Caenorhabditis elegans: one gene and its partners. The protein of the gene in region 2 interacts with the protein of the main gene of each other region in a pairwise test. Each region holds a gene or a part of one and is shown on either strand. Other genes may lie near its edges.

What was found.
Region 1: the proteins of exc-6 (region 2) and siah-1 interact in a two-hybrid assay, tested with the Caenorhabditis elegans proteins (one large-scale study listed by BioGRID).
Region 3: the proteins of exc-6 (region 2) and bath-15 interact in a two-hybrid assay, tested with the Caenorhabditis elegans proteins (one large-scale study listed by BioGRID).
Region 4: the proteins of exc-6 (region 2) and set-24 interact in a two-hybrid assay, tested with the Caenorhabditis elegans proteins (one large-scale study listed by BioGRID).

The regions. Positions count from the first base shown.
Region 1 is NC_003282.8:3,742,214-3,747,882, reverse strand, and holds siah-1 (E3 ubiquitin-protein ligase siah-1), read right to left. Parts: upstream 3,836-5,669; 5' UTR 3,747-3,835; coding exon 3,560-3,746; intron 2,765-3,559; coding exon 2,603-2,764; intron 2,550-2,602; coding exon 2,316-2,549; intron 2,060-2,315; coding exon 1,484-2,059; intron 916-1,483; coding exon 861-915; intron 716-860; coding exon 670-715; 3' UTR 532-669; downstream 1-531.
Region 2 is NC_003281.10:1,101,669-1,106,230, forward strand, and holds the start of exc-6 (Excretory canal abnormal protein 6), read left to right. Parts: upstream 1-1,539; 5' UTR 1,540-1,555; coding exon 1,556-1,684; intron 1,685-2,456; coding exon 2,457-2,900; intron 2,901-3,374; coding exon 3,375-3,557; intron 3,558-3,725; coding exon 3,726-3,823; intron 3,824-4,562. UniProt on the Caenorhabditis elegans protein: Constitutively active protein required for microtubule and F-actin growth, structural maintenance and organization during excretory cell tubulogenesis.
Region 3 is NC_003281.10:7,774,154-7,777,821, forward strand, and holds bath-15 (BTB domain-containing protein), read right to left. Parts: upstream 1,881-3,668; 5' UTR 1,862-1,880; coding exon 1,749-1,861; intron 1,707-1,748; coding exon 1,325-1,706; intron 1,274-1,324; coding exon 1,126-1,273; intron 1,081-1,125; coding exon 929-1,080; intron 874-928; coding exon 727-873; 3' UTR 524-726; downstream 1-523. Other genes in the region: Homeobox protein mab-5, read right to left, coding at 3,116-3,238. UniProt on the Caenorhabditis elegans protein: Probable substrate-specific adapter of an E3 ubiquitin-protein ligase complex which mediates the ubiquitination and subsequent proteasomal degradation of target proteins.
Region 4 is NC_003280.10:12,127,968-12,132,774, forward strand, and holds the start of set-24 (SPK domain-containing protein), read right to left. Parts: upstream 3,002-4,807; 5' UTR 2,979-3,001; coding exon 2,757-2,978; intron 2,126-2,756; coding exon 1,685-2,125; intron 934-1,684; coding exon 737-933; intron 13-736; coding exon 1-12.

The DNA of each region.
Region 1 (5,669 bases), on a different chromosome or scaffold from region 2:
TTAAAATTTTATTTGCACTCTGTTATAAATTTTGAAAATACTCAAATTGTGAAAAATTGTTATGATGCAAATTTTCCAAATAAAAAAAACTGAGAATGAATTAAATTTCTTTAATTTTGAAAAAAAAAATGTTTTTTCTCCAAAATTTCAATTAACCATCAAAAAAAGTTCAAAAAAATTTATTCAACATGATTAAAGTATAAAATCGTAAAAATTGGAAAGAAAAATGTGGCTATTACGCAAGTGGTTCAAGAGACAAAAAAAAAGTACAAAATATCGATAAAACAACACAGGAAAGCTCGTAAAATGTGTAAATCGAGTGTAAAATACAAAAAAAAAGAAATTTATAAACCAAAAAAAATTGAAAAAAAATCCGTAGTGTTCTGTGGTTATCCATTCCGAGTCATGGAAGGATATGCTATACAGATAATTAATATTTTGAGGCGGGGGCGGGGGGGGGGGGGGGGTATTCTACATTATAAAAAAAAATTAGAACAAAATATAGTTTTTTTTTCAGAAAAAAAATCCAAAAAAAAAATTTTTTTAATTTTTAAATTTTTTAAAATGTTCTGATTGTAAGGGGATTTTCAACTGAATTTTTTAAGCTTTTCATCACATTTTTGAAGAAAAAAATCAAAAATAATTTTATTACGTTTACACTGTGCATATCTAGTCGTACTCGAGATCAGAATTTTCCAACTCATTTGGGTGGCGCCTGAAAAAAAATCAGTTATTAGTTTTTTTTTTTTTTAATTAAATAGATTAAAATTGGCTTATTGAAAAAATGTGTTTTTTTTGTAATTTTTAAATATTTTCAAACATTTAAACTTGAATTTAAAGTTTTTAAATACAATTCTCACCTCTGTGGAGTATCTATTCGGCTAATAGTGACGTTGATTCCAAGGTTTCCGTTTTCTGAAAAAAAAAGTTGATTTTTGTTGAGGGTAACTTTTAAAGTTTATATTCCGGAACTGACAAAAATTTTGCTACTAAAGGTCGATGCACCATATCTCGCCCAACTTTAAAAACTTTTCAAAAAAACCTCTGCGGATTTCGGTTTTTATTTTTATTTTTTAATAGACACTTTGTTAATATCTTCAAAAATTGACCGAGTTTATCAATCTTAGAAATTTTTGGTCGATGCACCATGTTCAAAGGAAACTTAATTTTTTTGGATTTCTGGTTCTATCGAAAAAGTTCCAACTCACAAAATATTTGTTCTCGTGTTTTATATAGTTTAGCGGTTACATTTTTGTTAGCATTCACACACTTAACCGGGGTATCGGCTGTTAAAACTATTTCGGTCGATGCACCATGATGCACTCAACTATTCCAGCTGTATCCCTTGTCTAACAAAGTTACCAAAAAAATTGTCAACTCACAAAAAAAGCTGTTTTTGCTCAGTTTTAACAAAAATTGAAAGCTCAGTTTTAACAAAAATTGGTAATTTCCGATTAAGATAAAAGCAAAAGTCAATGCTCACCTGCAAAAAGCTGTGCAGCATTTGAATCGAACGCTAGGCAATCCGACTGTTGAATGGCCACTACCACCCCCTCGTGGATGCTTCTCGGTGTGGCTTCCCATGACATTCTCCGGCGGCTCGCCGATAGCTCAAGCCGGTACACAAAGTTATCAGCTTCCTTCTTCGAGCCAATCAGCTGAACGACTGCGTAGAACATCTGAGTTGGCTGAGCTGGATCGTACTTTTCCTGCTTCTCGAGCACCAACATAAAATTATAGTCAAAGCAGCTCTGCATCATAACCCAGTCAACTGCTCCAGGAAGATTGATGTCAGTGGCCAGGAAGACGATATCCTCGCCTTGAAGCGTCGTGATGCTCTTGTGGATCTTCTTCAAATGCTCCATCACATCCGACAAGCCTCCCTGCCACTTGCAGCTAGCTCCAGGGCACGGGCAGCAGTAGGGTCGGAATTCGCAGAGCTCCTCGTGCTCGGTCTTATCAGCGTGATGGAAGTTCAGGGGGCAGCCGGACGTAGAGAATTTGCATGGAAAGCGGACGGTGTTGGCGATCTTCTCGAGGCCCAGGTTGCGGACAGAAGCTGTAAGATTGAAGGTTTAGTCTTGAAATTTGAGATATACTCTGAAACTTTGAAGATCCGTAGATCCTTGATTCGTTAGCTACATTAGAGAAACAACACAGCTAAAATGCTTAGGCGCTCGACTGAGACAGATCGATCAACCAGAAAGGATCTTAGTCTTCTATCATATCAGCTCTGCTCAAGCTGTGGTAATTTTTTCAGCTTTGACTAAACTCTTCTAGTCACGCAATTTTCAAATTTCAACTTCAAAACTCACGAGTTGGACCCCGACAAGTCGGGCAGCACTGAAGCTTTGGTCTGCAGTTCGAGCAGACAAGATGTCCGGATGAGCACTGCATGTATGGTGGCAGCATGTACTCCAGGCATACCGGGCACTCAAACACCGACAAGATCTCTGCACTGCTGTCGTCGGTGGCTCCACCGCCGCCGATTGGAATATGTGGTGCGACGCTTTGGATTCCTTGCGCGGTCGTCGTTGTGTTGTGCGGTACTGGAAAATTTTACATTTTAGCGTTACAGTTCTGAAAATCAAGAAAAACTCACTACTTCCCGGGGGATTACTCTGAACTCTGGCCATCGTTTTGCCAAGCACTGCGGTTCCAGAGATTGTTGACACTGCAGACGGTGGCGATGCCGACATCCGAGGTGTCAATCCGATTTGACATTGCTGTTGTGTGATGCCTGGCGGGACCGGTGGAGGGTTGCCTGGAAAGTAAAATTTAATGGTGCTAGTTCTGGGCTCCAAGATATAGTTTCACACTTACTTCGCTCATTGAGCCAATTTTCAATACACTCAATAATAAGCGCATTCACTACGCAGCAGCAAGAACGCATGTGGGGGAAAATGCGATCATCATGAAGCGAGCGAGCTCTCCGAGAGAGTTTTCAGCAGGTATATAAAAACTAGGGAGGGGCTCCGAAACACCGCTTTACGATGCATATGTCGATTATAACACAGAGATAGAATAGCGAGTTTTCTCTCGGGGGTGGGAGTAAAGAGGAAATGTTGAGTGACTTTAATTGGTGTCGTTTTGGATGTGGGGGGGGGGACTAATGACTGGTGAGCACGCATGGTTGGAGAAAGCAGGGGATTTGGGCTCCGGCTTAAAGGTTTGGCTGGCTGAAGGTAGTGGTGTGTCGGAAAAATCACGTGGTGTCAGAAAAAACCCCTGCCATCACGGTTTGATCTACAAAAAACGCGGACTTTTTTTGCGTAAAACTTTCTTAAGCCAAATAAAATGAGAACTATGCGTCTCAACTCGTGCATTTTTTGTAGATCTACGTAGATCAAACCGAAATAGGACATTCTGGCACCAAGTGAAATGCTGAAACAGTGATCTTTTAATCATGTCTCAATTAATAATACTCAATAGAAATTCAAAAGCCGACTCTCTTGATTCCGTTGGACAATTAAGTCCTTTCTTTAATTTTGGGCCGTTTCTAAGTTTCGGGGATGAGCAGGCTTTCAAACAAGACTCAAAGTTTTCAAAAAAGTCTCACCATTTGAGTGATTAACCATATCTTCGACTAAAGAATTGCTAGTCTGATGTCTGGATAGATGATTCGCTTGCGGAGCCGAATCGCTACTATTATTATCGTCCTCCTCAAAGATGAGCTGTGTACGACGAAGAGACTCGATCACGTCCTGATAGTCTCCTCCTCCTCCACCACCGTTCCGATTACTCATCAGCGAAGGCAGTCGAGATGACGAGGACGACGATGTTGGAGGTGGTGGGTGGTTCGGTGTCTGCGGATGCCGCCGTCTTCCCGTCGTCTCTGTAATTGGTGAGTTGGTGATAACGAATTGTGAGTGTTTTGTTGTTGTCACGTGAGAAATAGTCGCTGGAGGTCAAATTGTGAGGAATTACGAAGAGAGTAAAGTTTTTAGAATAGGTTTGTTGAATCAGGAGTGGCACGGGGTCTCACATGGTCCCATTACGATTTGATCTACAAAAAATGCGGGAATTTTTCGCCCAAAAAATGTGACGTCAGCACATTGTTAACCATTTGAAATCAGTTGGGAACTCTTCGTCTCAACTCCCGCATAGTTTGTAGATCTACGTAGATCAAACCGCAATGAGCCACTTTGACACCACGTGGCAATTTTTTTCCGGCAAATTGCCGATTTGCCGTTTGCCGGAAATTTTTAGAGGGATTTTTTAATAAGACGGAAGCACTTGAAACAGTGTCATTTTGAAAGTTTTTTTTTCCCGTTTTCTTTAGATACATTCATTGAACTTGCTTACTTTTCAAAATAGATGTAGGAACATTCATAGGATGCGTACAATTTTGCCAATTTAAATTAAATTTCTAAAATTTCCAGAAAAAAATGTGGAAAACCACAATTTGCAGAAAAATGTTTGTGAAAATTTTTTGCCGGTTTGCAGTTTTGTCGGAAATGTTCATTTTCGGTAAATTACCGGGAAAGTTGTGCAAAAAAAACAACTGAGGCTCAAATTTTTTAATTAAAGATTTACTAGGAAATTTTGAAAATTTTATATTAAAATTTGAAAATAATCGCCTAAAATCAATGCAATCAAGAACAAAAGATGAGAGATGGGCTAGGAAAATCAATAAGATAAGTAAGGGATAAGGTCCGATTTTCATGAACTTGAATACCTAGTATAGATACTAGATTCAGTAAAACGTGATTGCAAACTATTTGAATAAGTGACTTTCTAAAAATGGAAATTTGAAACATTCAAAAAAAAATGTAATACATTCACAAAAATCACTGAAAAGTTAAATTATGGTTATCTTAAACGAAATAGTGATGAAATCCATGAAGAAAGTGGTAATTTTTTCGGGAAGTATCAATTTTAAGGTTCTATTGTCCACACAGACACTTTATAAATCAAGTCGCAAGCAGAGAACAACAACAAAATCTGGCAAAAGAAAACAACTTTACTATTCGCTTTTTTTTAGCTTTCTCTAAATAATATTTTCAAAACCTAACAAAAGGATTAAAACCCTCAAATTCGACGATTACTTTGCATAAATACACAATAGAAATACGAATAAGAGAGTGAATAAAACGAAGAAAAGAGGCGAAAGGAAGAAAAATATGAAATAAAACGCGTTCTGTGTGCGTACTCTCTCTCTCTCTTTCTCTCTTTCACATCTTTTCACCAACGAATGACTGACCGGGATAGTGTGGGTGGTGGAAGAGACGACAGAGAGACCGACGACGAGATGTGTGGGCTTGTAAGAGAGTCTCTGTGTTTCTCTACCAGCTGACATGCGAATGAGAATGAATCAAATCGATTTTTGAAGAGAGAGAGAGAGAGAGAGAGAGAGACGGTTGGAGGGAAGGGATGGTGAGAGCGATTTTATATGAAAGGCGTATCAGGCACCAATAACCTTTTTAAAGTAAAATTTCAAAAATTGATGGTCATGCACTGTTGGTCATATGGAAAGATCAGCTGTTAGGGTGACTGGTACCCGGGTCAGGTGCTTGTGCTCTCGGTGGTCGATGAGAGGCAGCATAGGGAATGTAGCAATAATAATAAAAAAATAAAGTGACGTTTTATTGAAATTCATATAAGGAAATGTAAGGAAATTATCTGAAGGAAATAATCTCAATAAGGCACACGATTATTTGTTGCTACAA
Region 2 (4,562 bases):
TGCCAAACAAACAAAATTCTACCCCAGTTTGAAGCCAAAGTTTGGCAAGAGTTGGGCCCCCCAACATCTCCAACTTTTGCCCAAGTTAATAATTTTAGGGCCAAACTTGGGCAAGAAGCTAGAGTCAAATACTGAGATTTGTACCAATATCTATAAAATTTAAAACAACATTTGTCTGTGTCGTCATGACAGATTTTTGTTTAACACCCTCTATCATCCTTAGCACATCTTATCAAAAACCTACCCCCCCCCCCCCCCTCAACCAATCCAGTTAATATCCCGGATATCATCATCCTCACCCAAGTACCTCCAGTCTGTTTACCTGGGGGGGATATCGCGCAACGACCACAGATTTCGCATTTTTGATCTCCCGCTGGCTGCTATATCATCTTTATTTGTACTCACTCCCCTCTTGTGTATCTCTATTGTGTGTGTGAATATTGAATATGCTAATGAGCCCCACTCGAGAGTCTTCCACAACAACTGTATAATATCTTTTATATCGATAGTACACCCCCTCTGTTCAAACAAATCTTGTCATGGGGCAACTTTTTATTTGATCTTTCTAAACTTTTTCGCGGCTTACCACCTAACTAGTTTCTAATTGACACATACACTAGAGTTTTAATGAGGTGTTAAGCCATCGAATATTGCATTGGAATGATGATTGGCAGTTGCTCATTTTACGTTTTCAAAAATTGGTGTGCCAGTTACTCTACATTGCGCTTGCTTCTTTAAAAAGGCATAACTCCTTAGAAAATTTTGTTTTTTAATAAATTAAAATAATAAAAATAGATACAAGTCATAGTGTTTGAAATTTTGCACAGTCTCTCAGTTTGCAACTTTTGGCCAAAATTTTTTTCCGCGAAGTAATGCGCCTTTAAAGCTGGGCGAGCCTACTCAAAATGGTCGAGAGTGCTCGATCTTATTTAAAGGCGCATAACTCTTTTGAAAATAATATCTTTTAAAATCTTAATAAATACATCTCATAGTTCTTAAAATTCTGCACGTTTTCCCTGTTAACAAATTGTGAATACCTCCTTCCTCCGTGGAGATATGCGCCTTTGAAGCTGGGTCTACTGCCTTTTCTCAACAGGGTCGAGTGTGCTCGTTCGTGTTTAAAGGCACATAACTCGTATGAAAAGTGCGAATTTTAAAATTCAAACATTTATTTCTTACAGCTCTTGACATTCTGCACATTTTTACCGTTTACAAATTTTTGATACCTCCTTTCTCCGCGGAGTTATGCGCCTTTAAAGCTGAGCTCTACCAGGGGGACTAATTGTTTAAAGGCGCATAACTCGGCGGGTTTTTATGCGTTATAAATTTTTTTTTGTAGTATATAAATTATAGCTCTTATAGCTCTTAAAATTGTGTACACATTTTCTTAGTTGGAATTTTTTTGACCACATTTTTCCAGGCCGAGTTGTGTGACCTATTTTTAAAAATTTTCAAAAAATACCTCCATTGCCTAAATTTTCTAAAAAAAATCCCCAATTTTCGCTCAAAAAATGTACTCTAATCAAAAACTCTACACTTTGCAGATGCAAAAACCATGACGAGCGACACAATTCGACAAACTCTCGACGAGCTGCTACTTGACAAGAATGGCGGCAGCAGCAACGAGGCTCGCGCCTTCTTCTTATCACAAATTATCGATCAGCTGAAATTGATTAGTTCTCAGGTATATTTTATTGAATTGGGCGCGTTGTGGGCTTTCAGAAACGTATAATCATGACTAGGCCACGCCCATATATTGATTTTTGACTCCGCCCCTATTTGAAAATATTGCGAAATTGTGAAAAATCTACTGTAACTTTCTGAAATTAAGATTTAGAAAAGTTTGAGTATTTATTTTGTACTCGGCTAGTTATGAGCTTTCAGAAAGTATAATCATAACTAAGCTCCGCCCACTTTGGTTTAGGCTCCGCCCCCTATTGTGAAATACTTGCAAAACTACAGTAATCCTTACCAAAATGAATAATCAAAAAATGTTTTTAACATTTCTGAATATACCATGCTTTTAGCTTTCAGAAACGTATAATCATGACTAGGCCACGCCCATATATTGATTTTTGACTCCGCCCCTATTTAAAAATATTGCGAAATAGTGAAAAACCTACTGTAACTTTCTGAAATTAAGATTTAAAAAAATTTTGAATGTTTTTTTGTACTCAGCTAATTATGGGTTTTCAGAAACGTATAATTAGGCCACGCCCACTTTGGCTTAGGCTCCGCCCCTTTATTAACTTTTTGACAATGAGATGAATAATTTTAACCTTAAGTTTTCTCTATTTTGCCTAAAAAATTTTTTTTTCCAAAAACTGACTATTTGCCAACAAAAACCTTAATTTCGGCCCCGCCCACTTTGTACTAAACTCCGCCCATTTGTAACTCCGCCCATTTGTTTCAACGTTTTTTCTTAAAAAAAAAAAAAAAAATAATAATAATTCCAGACCGATGCAGAACGACAATTGCAAAAACTACAACTAAAGGATCCCAACGACAATATAGTCAAAGCCACGCCCCCTCCTCCGCCCCCGCCCCCGCCTTTAATTTCAATACTCCAACAGGCGCCTCCACCGCCTCCCCCACCGCCTCCTCCAACCCTAAAAGCTCCACCGCCACCGCCAATTTTGGGCCTGAAAACACCTTCAAAAAGCCTAAAAACGCCCACGCCTCGGCCCAAAGAGTGTCCCACCTCGTTTTTGCCGAAAAAAGAGAAAAAGACGAAAACACGGACGGTTCAGTGGTCGAAAATCAACGCGAGTGTGGTTCAGGACGACAGTGTCTGGGGTAAACTGGCGAAAGCCAGCAATGTGGATATCGATTTTGATCTACTCGACAATTTTTTTGGAATTGAGAGCTTGGCGGTGTCGGGAGCCGCCGAGGTGGTCAAGGTAGGAATTTTGTTAATTTTGTTAAATTTAGATTTTTAGACAAAAACAGTTTTATGAAAGTTTTGGAAAAAAATTATTTGAAAAAAAAATCGATTTTTGAAATTTTCCAAAAAAGTTTTTTTTTTTGGAAGTTTTTTATTTAACAAGATTTCATTCACAAATTAGGAACTTTCTTATTAAGTTTTTTGATATAACATCCATCATGCCTATATTCCGGCTATTTTGAGTTCTGACACAGCTGAAACCGGTGCTACAGTACCCCGCGTGGCGAGACCCAAAACTTCAAATTTGACGGAATGTAGGCGTGTAGGGGGTCATTTTGAAGCATTTGAAAAATTAAATTTAGATTTTTAAACAAAACAGTTTTACAGAAGAGCTTTGGGAAAAAACTATAAAAAAATTTCGAAAAAAATTTTCAACCCAAAAAAACATTTTTTTTTCCTCCTGAAAATTTCAAATTCCTTAAATTTCCAGAAATCTACACGAAAAGACGCCCACGTAGAATTATTAACTGCAAAACGTAGTCAAAACGTGGCAATCATGCTGAAACAGTTCAAAAATATCGATGAGCTCATCGATGACGTCAGCCAAAACAAGCCGGTCGCCGAAATAGATGCTTTGCAGAATTTGTTTGGAATGCTGCCGCAAAGTGAAGAGGTAAGTGAAAATAAATGGGAAATTCGGATTTAGCGCCAAAAATCGATTGGGAATCGATTTTTTTTTCGGCGAAAATTTGGATAAAATTGAATTTTCGAAAAATTTTTTGATTTTTTTGAGATTTTTTCATGAAAAATTCAAATTTCCCCAAAATCTTCAAATTTTCAGGAAGAAGCCCTACGACGATACACCGGTGACATTTCCCTACTTTCTCCTCCATCGAGCTTTTTCTACCGTCTAGTGCAGATTCAATTCTATCGCTTACGGTGAGTATTCGCTGCGAGACCCGATTTTTTTGGATTTTTAAGTGTGAAATTCGAGTTGAGCTTGCTGAGCGCTTCAATTTAGGTATAATCATGACCAGGTTCCGGTAATCCGGAAATTTAGGCGACACCTCTTTTCTTGGCTTATTGTGAAATATTGATTATAAGTCACGCCCACTTTTTGCACTATAAATGGGTACAGCCTAACATTTGCAAATATTTTTGTAAAAAAGTATATCAAGTCTAGGCTCCGCCTACTTTCAAATCCAAACCACGCCCCTTATTGCGAAATAATAGAAAAGTTATGATTTTTTTTGTGAAATTTTTTAGCTAAGCAGCTTTGTCTTAATTTATTTTGCTCAGAATTGAAAAAAAAAATCAATATTAGTTGACTCCGCCCATTTTCAAATCTAAGCCACGCCCCTTTCTTGGTTTATTGCGAAATTATTGCAAAATGGGGAAATTTTTTATGAATTTTTCCATTCGAACAAGCTTGAACTAACTTTATTTCAATTTTTTTTTGTTTAGAATTTGAAAAAATCAATATTATTTGGCTCCGCCTATTTTCGAATTAAGGCCACGCCCCTTTCTTGGCTTATTGCGAAATGCTTGGAAAATTTGGAAAAACTCTGCAAAAATCAATAGTAAAAATTTCAATTTTGCTCTGTTCGAGCTAATTGAATTGAAACTTTTAGAAAAGTATGCTCATTATTAGGCTCCGCCCATTTTTAAATCTAAGCCA
Region 3 (3,668 bases), 6.7 Mb from region 2:
CGAATTTGTCTGCAGTTGCATCTTCTTTGAGCATTTTTCCCTATTTCAGAAAACTGTTGGCCAGGCTGTTCCGTGAAATCGTAATGAAACCATAAATTAAGCATTGATATCCATCCGAAATTGACCATATTGTAGCCAGACATGCGAATAACAATTAGAAACTATTTTTACATGCACAGAGCGTTAATAACCGAAAAGAATATAAAAAATAATTTTTTTTTTCTAACTTTCGAGTGTAATTGTTGACAATTTTTGTATCAGCGCGTTCAGTTTTTCATTAAAAATTCCCAAAATGATGCAACAAACAGTTTTTTTCCTGCTTAACATTTGATACCTAAAATGAAAACGTAAAAACACCGTTTCGAAGAGAAATTCAAGTCACAAAAAACCATCATTTTTTTCAGTGCAAAATAATTCATGAAAATAACAAAAATGCAAGTGCGCGCTAATGCAAATTTCCATCGGAGGAGACTGTGCCATTGACCAACTCAGTCAATTTCAATCTTCTAAAACGCATAAAGTTTTTTTATTATGTTTTTACTCCGGAAAATAAGACCAATGTTCAAATATTTGAGCAATATTGACTCCTTAATAAACCTGGTTGACGAATTTTTAAAGATGAGTAAAAGAAAAATACATATATTTTCACAGAGATATTTAGTTAGTACCAGCGAATCAAAGACTAAATCACAATAATATATTAGCGCTAAAACAGGAAAAAAATGATTATACTGAATCAGAAATCGCAGATCGATGAAGAGCCGTGGATTTTTTGAGGAGAGTCGCCAGCACAATCGGGTCCATTTCTTCCGGATTATAAGCCATTGCAGCTTCAATCTCATCGATCGTGTTGATTTTCGAGATACAAACGGTCTGAAAATCAAAATTTATTTTAGTTTTCAGGAATTTTCAAAAAATAAAATTTTACTTTTAAATTCTCCAGCTGATATTGGTTAGCCATTTTTAACAGCTCTCTCATCGATTTCATCGACTTTTCGATCAAAAACTCCTCGCATTTTCGAATTGCCAAGGTAACATCGAGCATGTGGGCAAGTAGAAGAACTCCATCGATGGTACCATCTGAAAATTTAATTATTTTAATTTAAAATCAATTCAATATCTAACCATCAATCGCAGGTTCTCCATATAGAACCTCCAAAAGGCTCTGAAAATCGGTCGGATCGATGTTTTGGAGTGTAACCTCTGATTGATCGGCTTCTTTGAATTTTCCAAGAAAAAGTGCATTGAAATATGAAGAATGAGACGCCAGGAACTGAAAAATATTGAATATTGAATGGAAAATTCGATTGTAAAAAAAACCTACTAGTTTCAAAACATAAAACTTCTCGTCTCCAACTACAAGGATCACATCGGAAAATCTTTTTTCTGATTCATCGAAGCTTCTGAGCACATCTTTCGAGAATCCTGTCATTTTTGTGATCTTCACACATGCTTCAATAGTAAAACTATTATCGTATAGAAAATCTTCTGTCAATGAGTCCCAACTGACAAAATCATTCCATCCCAGTCCAAATCCATCGAAACATCCCTTTTGGAATTTCATTGCATAACTTCCTGATGATGAAGCTATTTTTAAGCTGAATTCGGCGTCGACTGTCCAGGCGACGTTGTCATCTTTCTCATTGTCACAGTGTAGGTACGCTTCCAGTTGATCTTTCGTGCGAATAACCAATATAAACCTGAAACTAAAGATATTTTATGTAATCTATGACTTGGATAAGACTTACCATTCCGCATTGTAATGAATTTCTTCGGGGCTTTTAAAAAAATCGCCATCTTCCAATTGTGAAACATCCTTGAAAGTGTGATGAAACACGAATTCCTTGCTTGCGGCGACCATTTTGAAGAGTTTGCTGAAATTAAACATTTTTAAAACTCAAAAAGTCGAAAAAATCAAATAATTTTTAAATTAAAAGTCATTTGTCCGCTAGAAAAACGATAACTTTGCAAAGTTTGACGAAAAAAAAAAGATTACAAAAAATCTAATGTGCGTAAATTAGAATGCATTATGTTCATTGCGTACTCTCTCATCTACCGTAGTTCGCTGACTATTTGTTCGAAATGCAGCATTTATACTATTTACCATCGATAGATCCTTCTAAAACGCATAAAGTATTTAATTATGTTTCTACTTCGGAAAATAATGCCAATGTTCAAATATTTGAGCAATATTGACTCCTTAATAAAAAAAGGAGTCAATATTGCTCAAATATTTGAACTTGCAAAAGTATATACAAATATTTGAACTTGCAAAAGAATAAACCTGGTTGACGAATTTTTAAAGATGAGTAACAAAAAATACATTTATTTTCACAGAGATATTTAGTTAGTACCAGTGAATCAATGACTAAATTTTAAAAAAATTAAAAAAGCTAATCAACTTTCCGAGAAATTGGACATCTCAAACCTGCAGTTTCTTTGCGAGGTACTGTAGAAAAGATATTTTCAGGTTTATATAATTATTTCTAAAGTTTCAAGTGTTACTAAGGTATTATTTGGAGGCAATCAATGAAGCTTTACTACCAATCATCCAGTACATATTCACACTTTGTGGCCCAGTTTTACAGATTCTTATGTTCATTAGAAATCGACGATATAATTTTTTAGTGTGACGTAACTCAGTTCACTTTTTTATAACTACATGGTATATCAACAATCTTCTTTTGCATCTGGCACAGTGAAATATGTGTCGTTTCACAAATGTCCTTCAATTTGTGAGGTCCTCTGTGAAACATAATGACAGATCAATTTCATCTCCAAAAATCAAAGCAAACAGATATGTTACTGTAGAAAAATTTTCAAGAAAAAAAAATCAAAAAATAGGCTAGCAGTGTGTAAAAAACAATTTTCGAGACAAAGGTTGAGATCATCAAATCCCAAAGAAGCAAAGGAAGAAATTGAGAAATAATCAATAAAAACAAAGACCCGTCGAAAGGGCGTGGAATCCTTTCAGGTCGTTTAAAAGCAATATATCACCGATGAAGAATGCAAAAAATCAAAGGAAAATGACAAAAATGGGAGCAAAACAATGAAAAGCGACCGGAAACGAGGTAAAAAGAAATTCAAATTAGATTCTGACCAAAAAAAGTGAAAATCAAGAAGAATGTTGTTCATTTTGCTCATCTTGATTTGATTCTTCATCTGATTCATTGCTTCCACCTTCTCCTTTTGCCTCTTTTTTGTGTTTCATACGACGATTTTGGAACCAGATTTTTACCTGCAAAAAGTTAATTGTATCTATTAAATACTTATTTATTAAAACAAAACAGATTATTCACGTGGTGTCAGGCTGTCTCATTGCGGTTTGATCTACGAAAAATGCGGGAATATTTTCCCAGAAAAATTGTGACGTCAGCACAGTCTTAACCATGCGAAATCAGATCAGATGTCTGCGTCACTTCTCCCGCATTTTTTCGAAGATCAAAGCAAAATGGGACTTTTTGACTCCACGTGATTATTCTACTTTGCTTTTTTGTTATCTAGATTATCAGTAAGAAACTACAATTTTTGGTTTTAAAATTGTGTTTGCAATAAGAATTTTCGAAAAAACCATTAAAACTTTTTAATAGAAAAATTATTTTAAAAAATTGAAGAATAATTCCCTATTCTTGTTTAAAATAAATCATCATTCATTATGCATTAAATCT
Region 4 (4,807 bases), on a different chromosome or scaffold from region 2:
ACGCGGAGGAAGCTGAAAAAGAATCGATTTTTTTTTTTAATTAAAAAGTTTGAAGGTGGTGTAGTCAAGTTTTTTTTTATTGCTTAATTAGACTCAAAATTGTCTGAAAATACCGAATTTCATAATGAAACTTCTTGAAAACTTTTCAAAAAAAAGTTATGACGGCTCAAAAAATGGCCTAAAATTGGTTAAAATTTGAAATTTGACTTGACAGCGGCTGGGAACTAACTTTTTTTGAAATCACCGTCAAATTTTGAGTATACAATGTAATTATCTTGCGTTTTCAACTCGATTTAGGTATTTTAAAGTCGATTGACGGCGAGATTAGGTTTTAAAAAATTAAAAATCTCTCCGTCCATCGACTTTTAAATACCTAAAACGAGTTGAAAACGCAAGATAGTTACATTTTATACTCAAAATTTGACCGTGGTTTCAAAAAAAATTGTTTCCGGCCGCTGGCAAGCCAAATTTCAAATTTTAACTGATTTTAGGCCATTTTTTGAGCCGTCATAACTTTTTTTTTTGAGAAGTTTTCAAGAACTTTCATTATAAAATTCGGTGTTTTCAGAAAATTTTGAGTCGAACAAATCAATAAAAAAATTCGAATACACCACCTTTAAAAATTGGAAAAAAATTTTCTAAATTTTTTAATGCTAAATTTCTGAAAAAAAGCAAAAAAACTGAAAATTTCACAAAAAAACTTGAAAAAATCCCATTTTTTCAGATCAAAACGAACCGATTATTGAGATAATTTTCCGAAGATGGATTCTCATAAGTATCAATATACTCTTCACATATTTGAAATCGAAAAAGTGGACGAATCTCGTCGGAGCTCGATTTTTGAGCCAAAAATTGCAAAAAATCCACGTCAGCCGATGTTATTTCAGCGGTTTTCTGCTCCGTGGTGGTGATTTTTTGTGGTGGCGGTGGAGGCTGAAAATTCATAGAAATTTGCAGGTTTTTCAGTAGAAATCGAAATTTTTGGCTCAAAATTTCAATTTTTAATCATTTTACTGAAAAATTAAAGGAGGACTAACGGTTCGGACGATTTTGAACGTATAGACCCAAAATGAGCTCAAATGAACGAATTTCGTAATGAAACTGCTCAAAAAATTTTCAAAAATTTTTTATGGCGGTTCAAAATTTTGAAAAAATTACACTGATTTTAGCTAAAATCTCGATTTTTTTCCATTTTTCCGTGTCACATTTGTCCGAAGTTGGCTTTTTTGGAATGATCGTCCTTTATTACATATTTTGGTAATAAATCTCATTTAATTTCGTCGATTAAAGTACATTTAAAGCCGATAGGTAACCAAAAATCATCAAAATTGGTTACCTATCGGCTTTAAATGTTCTTTAATCGACGAAATTAAATGAGATTTATTACCAAAATATGTAATAAAGGACGATCATTCCAAAAAAGCCAACTTCGGACAAATGTGACACGGAAAAATGGGAAAAAATCGTGATTTTAGCTAAAATCAGTGTAATTTTTTCAAAAATTTTGAACCACCATAAAAAATTTTTAACAATTTTTGAGCAGTTTCATTACGAAATTCGTTCATTTGAGCAAATTTGTTGGTCTATACGTTCAAAATCGTCCGAACCGTTAGTCGTCCTTTAAGTGTAAAACCCAAAAATTCCGTTTTTTCCGCGTTTCTTCAATAAAAACTGTTGAAATAACCTTAGCCATCGATCTAGGGGTAAAACTCCTCGCAATAGCCCGATTCTTGCTCCAAAACTCTTTTTCCTCGGCAATACGTGCTCTTCCTAACGCGGCAAGAACTCTACGGCTTTCCATTGGACATTCGATCATTTTATCGAAATGTGTGGCACAATGCAGTGGAGTTTCCGATAGAATCCAATTTTTATCAAATGGAAGTGTGATTTCGTGATCTTGAAGAATCACTTTCGTCGATACAATCATTACTCGAAAATTGCTCTTTGAGCCGAGAATATGACGGAGAGTACTGTTATTTTGGCATGAGCGTCTTGTGATTTCGCTATAATTTCCCAGTTCGGAAGTTGTGATGCAGATTGGTTTTCCGCCGATTCCGTAGTACATGAATGTTCTTGGAGTACTTCCGACACTGCATGGAATCTCTGGTGGCAGCGACATGAAACCCTGAAAAGATGAAATTTATTGCAGGGGTAAACGATTTTTTTCGGCAAATCGGTTTTTTTCGGTTTTTTCGGACAAAAAAATGTTTTCCATAATTTTCTTGTTCTTAGAATTTTTTTCAGTTATTTTTGGACAAAAAAAACAAGAACAAAATGTTTTTCAAAAATTTAGGAAAAACATTTTCAAAATTTTTCTATGAGTAATTTCTTCTTTTTCCGGGTTTTTGGAAAAAAAAATTTTTTTTTTTGGTTTTTCAGAGATTGGTTTGAAGTAAAATTGTAAAAATTTCGTTTAAAAATTGTTTTTTTTTGGTTTAAAAAAATCTAATTTTTTTAATTCAGGAAAATCTCCAAAAATCGAAAAATTAAGAGAAAGTCCAAATTTTAAAAATGCGATTTTTTCAATTCTCGCGATGATATTCCCTCCAAAAGGAGAACTGCGACCAATCAGTTTCTTCGAACTCCGCCCACTCCATCTGATTGGCCAAAAAGTGGGTGGAGCGAATCGCTGATTGGTCGCAGTTCTTGTTTTGGGAGATTTCTTCGCGATTTCTTCTCGATTTTATCAGTTTTTTTTTCGAGCAGCGCCGTTTTTCGAGCAATTTTTCAATAAATCGGGGGAAAACAAGAAGCACCTTCATCTCAATAATCGGTTTATTAACGAGAATCGTTTTGTTGGCGACGAGCACATGTTCATGCTCATTTCTCAGAGCTCTCTGAGCATTCTGAACGATAACTGTCCGGTTGAGAAGATCATCTGCTCCAAGCATAACAGGCTGCTTGGCGAGAAGACTCGAGACAGCCGGTGAGAATGTGTTCGGATTGTTGAGCATGTCGAGTGTTTCGTTGAAATCCATGATTGTTCTTGTGAAATTATACACTGAAAATAAATATTTATATGTATTACTTATTTTTAAATATTTAGTAAAACTATGAAGAAATACGCAATTTCGCACGTCAGCGAACAATATTAATTTGACAATGACTACGGTAGATGGCGGAGTATGCAAAGGTTTTTGCGTACTTTGCATCATACTTTACGAGCAAATATTTTCATCGATTTTCCAGCTTTTTACAGGTTTTTTCGGAATTTCCTGTAAATATTTGCTCAAAATTCGATACTAAATTTACAAAATTACGTGAAATTCATATTCGAGAAAAATTTCTTTGCAAATTGGATGAAAACCGATTTGAATTAAATTCTAAGTTTTTCGAGAAGTGGATCTCATTTTTGAAAAAAAAAACCAGTTATAAGTATAGAAAACTGAATTAAACATTAATAAAAACCAATTAATCTGAACGTATTTAAAACAAGAACATTTATTGAGCATTCGAAAAAAAAGGAAAATACGGGAAAAAAGGAATTTAAAAAAATGTTACAGTGGAATTTCTTTAGGTGCATTATCGCCGGCTGATAGGGAACATTCAGCAGTTGGGAGAACATCAGGAGCTGGAGAATGTGATGAGAATTTGCTGGATCGCTTCCTGGGCATCGACGATGAGGATAACCTGAAATTAGAGATATTTTTGATTGTACAGCTCTTTTTTATTTCAAATACCTTTTCAGCGGCTCCAAAATTCTTAATCTTATTGTCGATTTCCTTTCGAAAATCGTTAATGAGTGGAGACTCCAATTTGAGCAGAACAAATTTGAGAATCGTCAAGAACGCCTTGCCACACTTTTTCGATGAGTCCGGGTAGCCACTGGATTCGGTGGACAATCGGAATTTTCGTGTAGTTGTAAGGAGGAACAACTTCAAGGACAGGATCACGTCTTGTGCATCGAGTTGCTGAAAAGAAGGTATTTGCTTTAGAGTTGATAATGTATATCTCCGGGTACCTCATCTCTGATTGCCAACAAACGCAAAATTTTGACTTTTAAGCCAGTGAAATCACTTTCAAGGTAGATGAGCATTTCCTCCAATTGTTTCACCAGCTGATGCAGGCTGATTCCATCCGAGTTTGATCCATTAGTTGTAGCACCGACCATCTGCACGTTCATCAGCTGCACATTCTCCTTTCTCTCTGGCTCATCAAATCCGGGATTTGCAAGATTGCGGGCCTCTGCGATCACTGGTGGAGCCTGTTGGATTTCCGGATTGCGCGACCTGTGTCTGTTGAGAAGTTCGTCGTAGGCGGTTCGATCAACTGGTTCCGGTTTTGGCACACCAGGAACCGATCCCACAACTTCCATCTCGTCATCCGACATGTCTTCTGCAATTGGAGCTGATGTTCTGTAATAATTAAGATTTTAAGTTTGAATCCACGAGACTGTAAAGTTACCCTTCTCTATCACGTCTTCTTTTTAATGATCTTCTTGCCTTCGCCGGCACACTATGATCTCCTTTCAATACGATTGCTCAATCTCTCGAGATGTATTCGGTGATTCGATTTTTGTCATCGAGACTGACCTTGCCAGTTTCTTCCATTCTGAAATTAATTTCTATTTTTATTGAATGTAACTACGATTTTCCAACTTACTGTTCGAGAAATTCCGCATTGACTTCACCGGCCAGAGCAAACATTACACGAATTCGAGATTAGACACCGTATCGCGTGAATTTGTCCATATGCCGTGCGATTCTTCTATCGAACCTGAAAAATTAAAATAGAAGTTGAAATTTCGAATGAATATGATGCACCTCTGCGAATATCCTTTCCATGTCAATGTCTTGTCCGAATCTCG